3 linked regions of the Ovis aries genome follow. The protein of the gene in region 3 purifies or fractionates together with the protein of the main gene of each other region. This does not show direct contact. Links are inferred from orthologs where the notes say so. Each region holds a gene or a part of one and is shown on either strand. Other genes may lie near its edges.

Evidence for each region.
Region 1: the proteins of MGRN1 (region 3) and ANKRD46 purify together in Homo sapiens (co-immunoprecipitation; 3 studies listed by BioGRID and IntAct, counting the BioPlex papers as one, with this or other methods). This does not show direct contact. The link is inferred for Ovis aries from reciprocal best matches to the Homo sapiens genes MGRN1 and ANKRD46.
Region 2: the proteins of MGRN1 (region 3) and MC1R purify together in Homo sapiens (affinity purification with western blotting; 3 studies listed by BioGRID). This does not show direct contact. The link is inferred for Ovis aries from reciprocal best matches to the Homo sapiens genes MGRN1 and MC1R.

The regions. Positions count from the first base shown.
Region 1 is NC_056062.1:76,768,971-76,772,618, forward strand, and holds part of ANKRD46 (ankyrin repeat domain-containing protein 46), read left to right. Parts: intron 1-2,366; coding exon 2,367-2,583; 3' UTR 2,584-3,648.
Region 2 is NC_056067.1:14,250,501-14,253,229, reverse strand, and holds MC1R (melanocyte-stimulating hormone receptor), read right to left. Parts: upstream 1,501-2,729; coding exon 547-1,500; downstream 1-546. UniProt on the Homo sapiens protein: Receptor for MSH (alpha, beta and gamma) and ACTH. The activity of this receptor is mediated by G proteins which activate adenylate cyclase.
Region 3 is NC_056077.1:4,321,227-4,325,360, reverse strand, and holds the start of MGRN1 (E3 ubiquitin-protein ligase MGRN1), read right to left. Parts: upstream 2,818-4,134; 5' UTR 2,697-2,817; coding exon 2,609-2,696; intron 1-2,608. UniProt on the Homo sapiens protein: E3 ubiquitin-protein ligase. Mediates monoubiquitination at multiple sites of TSG101 in the presence of UBE2D1, but not of UBE2G1, nor UBE2H. Plays a role in the regulation of endosome-to-lysosome trafficking.

The sequences.
Region 1 (3,648 bases), on a different chromosome or scaffold from region 3:
TGAGCTCTTAGAGAAGGCGCGACTGAAGTCTCATTTTATAGGTCCCCACCCCACCCCCACTGTCCAAAAGTAGAATGTTCCTAGGAAACTTTTCCTTAAGTTGAGATGGCATAAAGTGAAGAACCTTAGGACTCATCTTACTAACAGATGCACAAAACAAACTGAGATAAAACACAGGTGCTCAAACACCGTGCAGGCTGGGGTGGCTGGACACTGAGATGCTGTGAGGTTCCTGAGCTTGGTGGTGCCAGTCTTGCTGCAAGACAAACGCTGAACACTGTTTTGCTTTATGCCTTTCTTCCTATAAAAGCAAAAATCCTCTTGGGATTTCTTTTAATTAGCAAATAGTGGTGGTATAGTGGATGTTTCTTAAAAGTGAGGTGGCATAAAGTGAACTTTCAAAAAATGGGGGATACCTGTATATCTAACACCTTTAAGTATGAGAGCATTTTGAATCAGATGTAGTCAATGAATTTCATGTAAGTCAAAATGAAGACATTATTCGAGCAGGAAGTACAACCATTTAAAAATATGTTGTTCAGGGTCTCTGTGTATCAAGCTAACTCAGATGTTTTAAAAGCCTTTTTTTTAAACAGAGTAAGTGAAATATCTGTGGCTAAGGAGTTTGGGATTTGTGATAACTTTGTAGTCATATAAAACTTAAGTGCTTTATGCCCCTCCACATGTGGTTATTCTAATAAATAGAGAAGTGAGCCCCCCCCCCCAAAAAAAATTAACCTCTACTGAACTTCACAGAGTTCTAATCTTATCTTTGAACTTGCTAGAGTTTTCTTTAAATTTTTGTATTGTTATAAATTCCCATTAAAAATGTCTTCTCCTATTCAGAAGATAAACATTTTTTTAACATATAAAAAAAAGTTTGGCTGGCAAACAGACTGGTCCTTTACAAAGTCATTTTCCTAGGATTGTAAAAGACACTAATGCCAGGAAAGGCTGAGAGGTCTGTGGTTAAGAGTGTCGGTGAATAAAGTAAAATTGTAACTTACCAAAAAAACCTGTCAACTATGCATGGTGACCCAGGCTCTAAGACCTTGTTTTGTGCTGTCTCCATTGTTCTGTCCCAAGATGGTCAGAAGAATGTGAAAAGGAGTTTAGGAAGAAGAACAGCAGCAATCACTAGTCGATACCTATGATCACGGTCATTGCGGCTTTATCTAAATGACTCCCTGCTACTGGTCCTGCATGCTGTGACATAGTTGTGGGCTAGTCTCCTGGAGCTTCGAGCTCATCACCGAGCAGTGTGCCAGTGTCGAGAGAGTGCCAGTGTCAGGCGGGCTCCATTTGGGGCAGCCGTGTCCTCGCTTAGGTAGTTTTTATGGCACTTGCACTGTTATTTTCAGCTAGACTCAGCCTTTATACAGAGGAGAAGTAAACTGACCTTGTGTTATTGTACAAGATAGCGCTAAAACCAGTGGGAGGAAGCTATTACGAGGAATCACTAATGGCTAGCCCTGTCCAAGTGTACCACATAGTAAGCATCCATTATTAGAGTATTTCAGTTTAAAGAAGGAATTCCTTCATTGGTCAGATTATTGAACTAAATTGATAAAAATCTGCCTTTAAGATTCACACACTGCTCAAGACTTCTTCCCTGGTGGCTCAGAGGTTAAAGCGTCTGCCTGCAATGCAGGAGACCCGGGTTTGATCCCTGGGTTGGGAAGATCCCCTGGAGAAGGAAATGGCAACCCACTCCAGTATTCTTGCCTTGAGAATCCCATGGAGGGACGAGCCTGGCAGGCTACAGTCCACGGGGTCGCGAAGAGTTGGACACGACTGAGCGACTTCACTTTTACTTTCAAGACTTCTGCTTCACAGTTGGAATGTTTTTGTTGTTGTTCAGTTGTGCCCAACTCTTTGCAACCCCATGGACTGTAGCATGCCAGCTTCCCTGTTCTTCACCATTTCCTCGAGTGTGCTCAGACTCATGTCCATTGAGTTGATGATGCCATCTAACCATCTCATCCTCTGTTGCCCCCTTTTCCTCCTGCCCTCAATCTTACTAGCATAAAGGTCTTTCCCAATGAATCGGCTTGTATCAGATAGCCTAACTATTGGAGCTTCTAACTTTGACTCTTCTAGAAACTTAACCAAGGAACATAATCATTATTGTTTAGCAATTTATGGTTCAAGGTAAATTGTCCAAATACTTGCAGATATTTAAATCGGTACATAAATGGGTATTTAAGTCAGTACATAAATGGGTTAGAATATATATGTCAGTTTTCTTCTCGTCAATGTATATTTTCAGGTTTGTCTTCTTAAACAGTGCAGTTTCTCTGGTTTTTTGTTTTTGAAATGGGCGACGTGTTGTTTCATGCCCTTTCTTTCCTTTGCTTCTCTCACAGCGCCATGGAAAGCCATTCGCTCCTCAATCCCAACCTGCAGCAGGGTGAGGGGGTCCTGTCCAGCTTCCGTACCACGTGGCAGGAGTTTGTAGAGGATCTGGGCTTCTGGAGGGTGCTGCTCTTGATCTTTGTCATTGCTCTGCTGTCTCTTGGCATCGCCTACTATGTGAGTGGGGTGCTGCCTTTCGTGGAAAACCAGCCTGAACTGGTGCATTAAAGAAGCTCACGGGAGAGGAGACGGATGCCAGTGTCCTGGCTTCCAGTGTTTGTTCTGGTTCTCAAAATCTCTTAGTGCAAAGCAGCGAGGGCTGTACTTTTGTTTCTTTTTGCATTTTTACACATTGTAATCCTTTTAGAAGAATAACCTGTCTGTTTGAACTAACTACATACTGTAGTCAAGGATGCTGTCCTAAAGCTACCTCCAGCTCAGCCTGACTTCTTAGGAAAGGCTCTGCATAGCCTTATTTGATAAAAATGTGGCATTGACTAACAAATGAGAGAGAGAGGATGAGACTAGGAAATCCTTGCTACAGAAACCTTACCCTAACATAAGACCAACTAGAGTGAAATGTTTAAAGGTTGTCTTATATGATCAGTTGTGGTTGGTAGTTTTGTTTTGTTTTTGTTTATTTTTGCAAGAGCTGCTTTTCGCTATTTACTTTCTCTGGGGAATAGTAGGGTAGGGGGGAAATGAAACCTTCAGCTTAAAACTTGAAGTGCTTTTTTCAGATCTTGTAGCACAAATCAGTATTGTTGGGATCTGTTTGGTTTATTTTAATATTTTCAAGTCTAGTCACAAACCAAACAGAACTTTTGAAAAGGAGTTATATTTTCCTCAAAAATGATTGATTTGATCTTATACTTATTTGTTTTTAAGATGTTTGATTTTTTTTGTGTGAGCTGCTTTGCTTGTTGTTAGTATCTGTGAAAAATGAACTTGAGAATTTTCAATCGAGAAACTTTTAATTTCCCCCTAGTGTTTATTTCAGAGATATCCTATTCATCAAAAATACAGTTGGAAGACTTTGTCTACTCAGTAGTTAGCAGGAATAAATATTGCTGATGTTTAATGTCACTGATTATGGTGAAAAATTCAGTTCTATAAGCTAGCCATGTTGTCATGATTATGTCATAGTTCATAATTTTTTCATTTCATGTGCAATCCTCTTTAGAGGCCCTGTTAGAACTGTCAAAACAATCCCATCCATGTCAGTTGTTCTCTGATGGAAAGAATGGATGGAGCATTCCCGAGTTAGCAGTGCTGAACAGTATTGTACCAGGT
Region 2 (2,729 bases), on a different chromosome or scaffold from region 3:
CCCAAGCTTCAGGCAATTTCCGGAAAGAGGCAAGAAAGATGGGAAGGAGGTTGCACCAAGCATCACATTTATTAATACCGCTGCACTGCTTCCTGGCCCTGGAGCCTGCATACTGGCTGCTGGGTCCCCAGAGCAGGCCTGGCTGGGGTGTCTGCCGAATGCATGTGCTGCTCGCAGACGGGCTGAGCCCGACTCCCAGTCACCACAGAGCGTTTGAAGAGAGAAGCCCCCACCTCCTCCTGTGCTGGTCATGAAGTCCTTGGAGCAGGACTTCCCACAGCTTTGGGCGGGGTGGGGTGTGGGCACTGGCCCCGGAGTGGGTCTCTGGATGGAGGGGTGGGGACCCTCCTTTCTAGGTGTGGGAGGCCATGCCCCACCATCTCCCCAGCCTCCTCATTCTGCACAGCCTCCTGGAGAGTCCTGTGATTCCCCTCTCAGGCCCCCGAAGGCCTGTGCACCCTCACCTTCAGAGATGGTCTAGCGATCCTCTTTGTCAAGGGACTGCCCCAGACTTCCAGGCCTGGGCACACGATGGCACTGCCACCCTCACCAGGAGCACTGCAGCACCTCTTGGAGTGTCTTCCGGAGCTCCTGGCTGCGGAAGGCATAAATGAGGGGGTCCACAATGGCGTTGCAAATGATGAGGGCCAGGAAGAGGTTGAAGTTCTTGAAGATGCAGCCACAGGTGGGGTGCTGGGGGCAGAGGACGATGAGCGAGAGGTGCAGGAAGAAGGGGCCCCAGCAGAGGAAGAAGACGCCCAGCAGGATGGTGAGGGTGGCAGCGCCCTTGAGGCCAAAGCCCTGATGAATGGGGCGCTGCCTCTTCTGGAGCCGGGCGATGCCCCGGGCATGCTGGCAGGCCCGGGCCAGCATGTGGACATAGAGGACGGCCATCAGGGCAAGCATGGCTATGAAGAAGCCAACCAGGCACAGCAGGACGACCGTGTGGTTGTAGTAGGTGATGGAGAGCACGCTGGTGAGGATGCTGGCCACCCAGATGGCTGCAATGATCCTCCACGCCCGGGGCAGTGTCACGACACTGTGGTACCGCAGGGCGTAGAAGATGGAGATGTAGCGGTCCACAGCGATGGCACCCAGGAAGCAGAGGCTGGACACCATGGAGCTGCAGATGAGCACGTCAATGACATTGTCCAGCTGCTGTACCACGGCCGCCCGGGTGGCCAGGACACCAGCCTCCAGCAGCAGCATGACTGCCGTCTCCAGCACGTTGCTGACGCTCACCAGCAGGTCGGACATGGCCAGGCAGCAGATGAAGTAGTACATGGGGGAGTGCAGGTTGCGGTTCTTGGCGATGGCGGCCACCACCAGCACGTTCTCCACAAGACTCACCAGCCCCAGGCTGAGAAAGAGCCCATCGGGGATGGACACCTCCAGGCACTGGGGCCCTGTCCGATTGGGGGCCAGTGTGAGGGGGAGGGTGGCTGGGGGTGTGCAGTTAAGGGAACCCAGCAGCCGCCTCTGGGAGCCGAGCACAGGCATCGTCCCGCAGGGAGCAGGAAAGGGTGCTTGCTCTCAGGGTCCTGCTCAACTCATGGCTCCCCTGGGAGGAGCCTCACACCGCCCCCTCCCTGGCTGGACAAATGTCGGCCCAGGCATGGCCCCAAGCTCGTGGGGCCAGCCCTCTGGGTGCAGTGTCGCTCTTCCGCCCTCAGTCCGCCTCCCTGCCTCTTCTCTGGATGTGCAGTTGCCCACAGGCAGACATTTCTGGGCCGCTTGCTTCCTCCTGTCCTGTGGGGACCTCCTGCCTTACCCGGCCGTGGTGGGCTGAGGTCCAGGGAGAACAGAGCCTTCCTTGGCATCTTTAAAGTCGTCACGGAGTCCCTCCTCCTGAAGGTGGCCACATGATGGGCGTGTGCCGGGCTGCAGCGAGGTCCGCCACCTGGTGGCGCAGGCGGAACCCGGGCCTGTCAGACCAAGGCAGTCCGGCCTGTGCAGTAGTTGGTGCTCGGCCAACGGGTGCTCCCGGCGATGCAGGTGGTGGGTGGGGGCCCTGCAGACCTGCCTGAGACCTCCAACCCTCTTCCAAGCCCAACATAAAACCATTACCTCCTCCCTGAAGCCGTCCAATCTTGCCTCAGGAACCCACAGCCTGGCCCTAGCCACCCTCCCCCCAACTCATGTTAAAGGCTGGCTGAGGGCAACCCCGCCCAAGGACTCCCAGCCCCTTCACTGCACTGTGGCTTCTCCCTGGGGTGCGGGGGCTGGGGGTGGGGCACTGCCAGTCCTTCCCTGACAGCCCCCATTTCCTCTGTGAAAGGTCACCACAGCCGGCCCAAAGCCAGCAACCACTTCAAGGACAAACCTTTATCTGCAGCCGCTTGCCAGCCCCCCAGCACTTTCTCACTGAGGAGTGCGTGGTGCTGACGACAAACCCTCCTAGGAGGAGGGTGGGGTGTACAGGCCGTCCCACCAGGGGGTGGCGGGGAGTCAGAGGTGGGCTGATGGGGCTGGCATGCTACGGGCGCTGGTCCGTCAGGGTCTCTCCTCCTCCTGCCAGACGGGCAAGGCCCACACCTGCACCGTGCACCTCCCTTCCCTGTCTAGGACTCACATGGCCCTCTCCTTTGTGGCTCTGTTGATGCTGTTTATTGAAGCACATGGCAGGTGAGAGACAGTACACAAGTTATAAACACGCAGGTTGGTGCATGCCGCATCCAGCACCCTTGGGACTGCAGCACTCCGTAACCAGTCAACCTAACAGGACCACA
Region 3 (4,134 bases):
TAGCCAGCCAGGCTCCTCTGTCCATAGGACTTTCCAGGCAAAAACACTGAAGTGGGTTGCCATGTCCTCCTCCAGGGGATCTTCCCAACCCAGGGACCGAACCCACATCCCTGGTGTCTCCTGCATTAGCAGGCTGCCTTTACAGCTGAGCCCATACGCCACAACTACTGAGCCTGCGCTCTGGAGCCTGGGAACCACAGCTACGGAAGCCTGAGCATGCTAGAGCCGGCGCTCTGCAAGAAGAGAGCCACGGCAATGAGAAGCCCGAGTCCCCCAACCTGAGAGTATCCCCCACTCGCTGCAACTAGAGAGAAGCCCACGCACCAACAAAGACCCAGCTCAGCCAAAAACAAATTAATAAATAACATTTTTTTAAAAAGTTCTCAAGCAAATTCTAGCTCCCAATGATTCTTTGTCCATAACACAATCAACAAAATTGGCAGAGACCTGAAAAGATAACAACTTTCTCATGAACTGACTGTACAGTCCAGGGGTCCCTAAAAATCTCAACCCCCTTCTTCCATCCCCAGCCCACTCTTGAGGAAACATACTCAAGTCCTGCTTAGGTTGCTGACTGCCTCCCAGAACAAGGTGGCCCGAGAGAGAAGGAAGCAGCAAGGGCAGCCTTTGGACTGAACAGGCCCAGGAGGGCACTAATCTCGCTGGCAGCAAAACCAAGGTGCACATGGCACTCACCTGGGTGCCAGTCCCAGTCGATTAGTTGTGGCTGACTCGGGCGTCCAGGATCGGTAGGGGTGTCTGGACTGATTAACAAGGTCAGCTGCGCAGAATGCAAAAGCAGTGCCCGAAGTGCCTTGCATTTGTGATTTCTTCTCCAAGTACCCAACTGAAGGGACATGAGGTTTGCTCCGGGCCCAGGTGACCACCTTAAACTTATTGCTGGCTCTGCCAAGCCACAGCTAACTGCTATTAAGAGTCTGAATGGATCACCTAATTTCCTCTATAAGCCAACATAGCAGCTAACAACTTGTGAAGACGTCTTAGGTGCTAAGCGCTGTACAAGGATCAGCCCATTTTACAGATGAGGAAACTGTGACCCAGCAGGCTAGGTGGCTTGTCTAAGACCAGGAAGACTCAGCCAAAGCCGATCAGGAAGAACATCGGAGACAGAAGAGGATGACTTCAAATAACCAACTGCTCCATCAGGTCTGGAACGTCAGCCTCCAGGGAATCCCACACCAGTGGGGACTTTCCTGTCCTTGGTCCTGTGCCAGGGACCAAGAAGGCATGGAGACCTCCCATGCCTATCAGGGAACAGGGCTCTCTGGCCTAGCTCTGACTGACCCCAACTGTGCTAGTCCCCACCCTGTTTATTTCTGGTGGTCCCAGACACTTGCCTTCTTTCCCCTTCCACAATGAAAGCAGAGCAGTTCTCCAATTTGAGTGGACAGTCAACTCACTCTGGGAACGGGTTTTAGATGCAGGTTCCTAGGCCCCCAGCAGACCCAGGAAATCTGAGGCAGGGCCTAGGGAACGCACCTTAAACAAGCTTCCCCATGGTCCTGGACATACTCAGGGGAAACCTGGCCTGGGGGATGCCCGCAGGCCAACTAAGAGGCCAAGAAACCACCAACGGGATGCAATGCTGCAGAAGCCTGAATCAAAGGCCCCAGTCTGAAAGTGCCCACAAGGCCCAAATGCCCTGTCCTCCTCCCGGGCAAACGACCAGATGAGGAGATGGAGTGTGAGGAACCCGAGCTAAACCTGCAGGTCAGGCCACTCTCACCATCAGAGGCAAGAGAACAGTGTGTTGGGGGGTGGGGGGCAGTGGGAGGGGGACAGCTGGCCTAGGAGTCGAACTCTTGGTCCAGCTCTGAGACCCTGGTAAAGTCACTTCCTCCCTGGTGGCCCACATCTCTCAGACACAAAAACGGGAAGCTGGAGAACCTGGGAGGTCCTCTCCAACTATCCCTTGGTTCTCCAGCAGGGACTCCCAGCTCCTCTCCCAAGGACAGTAATGCCTCCTTGGGCCCAGGCCCACTCCCCAGCGCCTTCCCACCCACCCACTAAACACACGCGCCAAGCCACAGCAGAGCTAAGCCTCTGTCCAGACGGGACAGAGGGGGTACCGTACAGAACCCTGGCCGGGTCTCCCACCGAGCCACCGAAGAAGGCGAAAACTGGCGATGGAGCGATGTTGAGCCCTGTGACAATGACCACTTTGTATATGCAAGCAAAGCGCCGGGCACGGGGTTAAGTCCTTGCCAGCTGCGCGCCCCCAAATCTCACCCCGGTCCTTGGGGAGGTTTCCTATCGAGTGTTTCCCGGGTGTGCAGCCGTGGGAGAGTGCAGCGCGCAGGGGCGAAATGACTGACCCAAGGTCACCCGGCCGGGCCGCGGCAGTCAGCGCCGGACCGACCCTCGCCCCAGGGTCCCGGTGGAGGGCGCGTGGAGCCCCAGACAGGGAAGCTGCAGGGAAGGCCGCGGAGCCGAGCAGAGCCCCCAGCCCACCCTCCGCCGCGGGGCCCGCGCCGAGGCCCCGCCGCCCGCTGCCCGCCCCGCGCGCTCCAGCCCGCGCGCCTCGCCATCCGCGCCCGGGGCAGGGGCCCGGGGCGGGGCCGAGGCGGCAGTCGGGGCGGCCACTCACCGGACTTTGGGGGGTAGCGATAGGCCGAGTTCGCTTGGATGTCGATGTCCTCCACGCCCGCGATGCGGCGGCTCAGGATGGAGCCCATGGTGGGCGGCGGACCGGGCCGAGGCTGGGGCGGCGGCGGCGGCGGCGGCGTCCTCACGCGGACATGGCCCGGACCAGGCCGCACGGACGCTCGCCCACGGCCGCGGGCGCACGGCCTCCCCGAGCCCCCACCCCCGGCTCGGCCCGGGGCCCGACGCCACGGCAGCCCTTCGCCCCCCCGGGGCGCGAAGCACCTCGGGAAATGGAGTCCCCTCGTAGCAGTGGGGGCCGAGCGGCGGCGTGGAAAGCCCGACTGGGAACTACACTTCCCAGGAAGCTCCGCGCCCGGGCTCTCCGAAGTTGTTGACAAATCCTCCAGGACAAACCAAATGGACCTGAGTCCAGAGGGGAGAGACCATCAACCACCCTGCAAACTATCCAGCCCTTTGCATTCCAAAGCACGAGACTAACATCATAAGTCTTTAGCTTTTTAACAGTTTGTTCGTACGTACACCTTTCGAGGAACCAACGCCTTCCATTCACTCCCTCTTTGAAATACCTCCCTGAGCTACCACGGTTCTCCCCACTTCCCAGGGTTTGATCTCCTGGCCCGGCCAGCAGAGGGCAGACCCTCACCTGCCACCCGGCAAAGAAGAGCTGGGGGTGGAACCCAAGATTGCTTGGAGGAGTGCCCACTTGGGAAGCGAAGCACCTTTTCCAGAACTCAAGGCATCTCTCCGTCTCCATGTCCAGGACAGTTATTTTGAAGACATCAAGTCCCTCGCAGAGGCAGTAAACCTCTCCCCATTTTAGAGACAGGGAAACTGAAGCACAAAGAAGAGAGTGCTTAAGGGTGCTTAAGCCAAGTTCAAAGAATCCAGGTTAGACCCTAACTGAACGGCCAGGGAATTCCCCAACTTTCCATTTGAATAAATATTTATAAATATAAAGAACCAGGGTTAGAGTTAAAGCCTCCTCACAGGTTGTAAGGTACTTTCCAGGCTTTTGATTTGTGCAAAACTCTGTAAGCAGGCAAGTGAGGATTTGTTGTTTTCACCAACTTTTCAGTTGAGAAACGGCTCTTCTGAGAAGAAAGTGGCTTCCCAAGACAAGCCTGTTCTACCAAGAAAGAAGCTGGGGGACTTTTCTGGTAGTCTGGTGCCTAAGACGCGGTGGTCTCAATGCAGGGGGCCCGGGTTCCATCCCTGGTCAGGAAACTGGATCCCACATAGTGCAACCAAGAGTATGCATGCCTCAACTAAAACACTACACGTGCCTCAGGGTAGACTGAAAGATCCTGTGTGCCACAACCAAGACCCTGCGCAGCCAAACAAATAAATTATATGTATATGTATAAAGGAGCTAGGGAGGACAGAGGCTGGCTAGGATTCTTAGATGGTAAATTCACCACTGTCCACATTAAAGTGAGTCTTCACACCTTTCAGGACTCCAGAACCCAACCTTCCTGTTTTCATGGGGCATGGGAAGCCAAAAGTCAA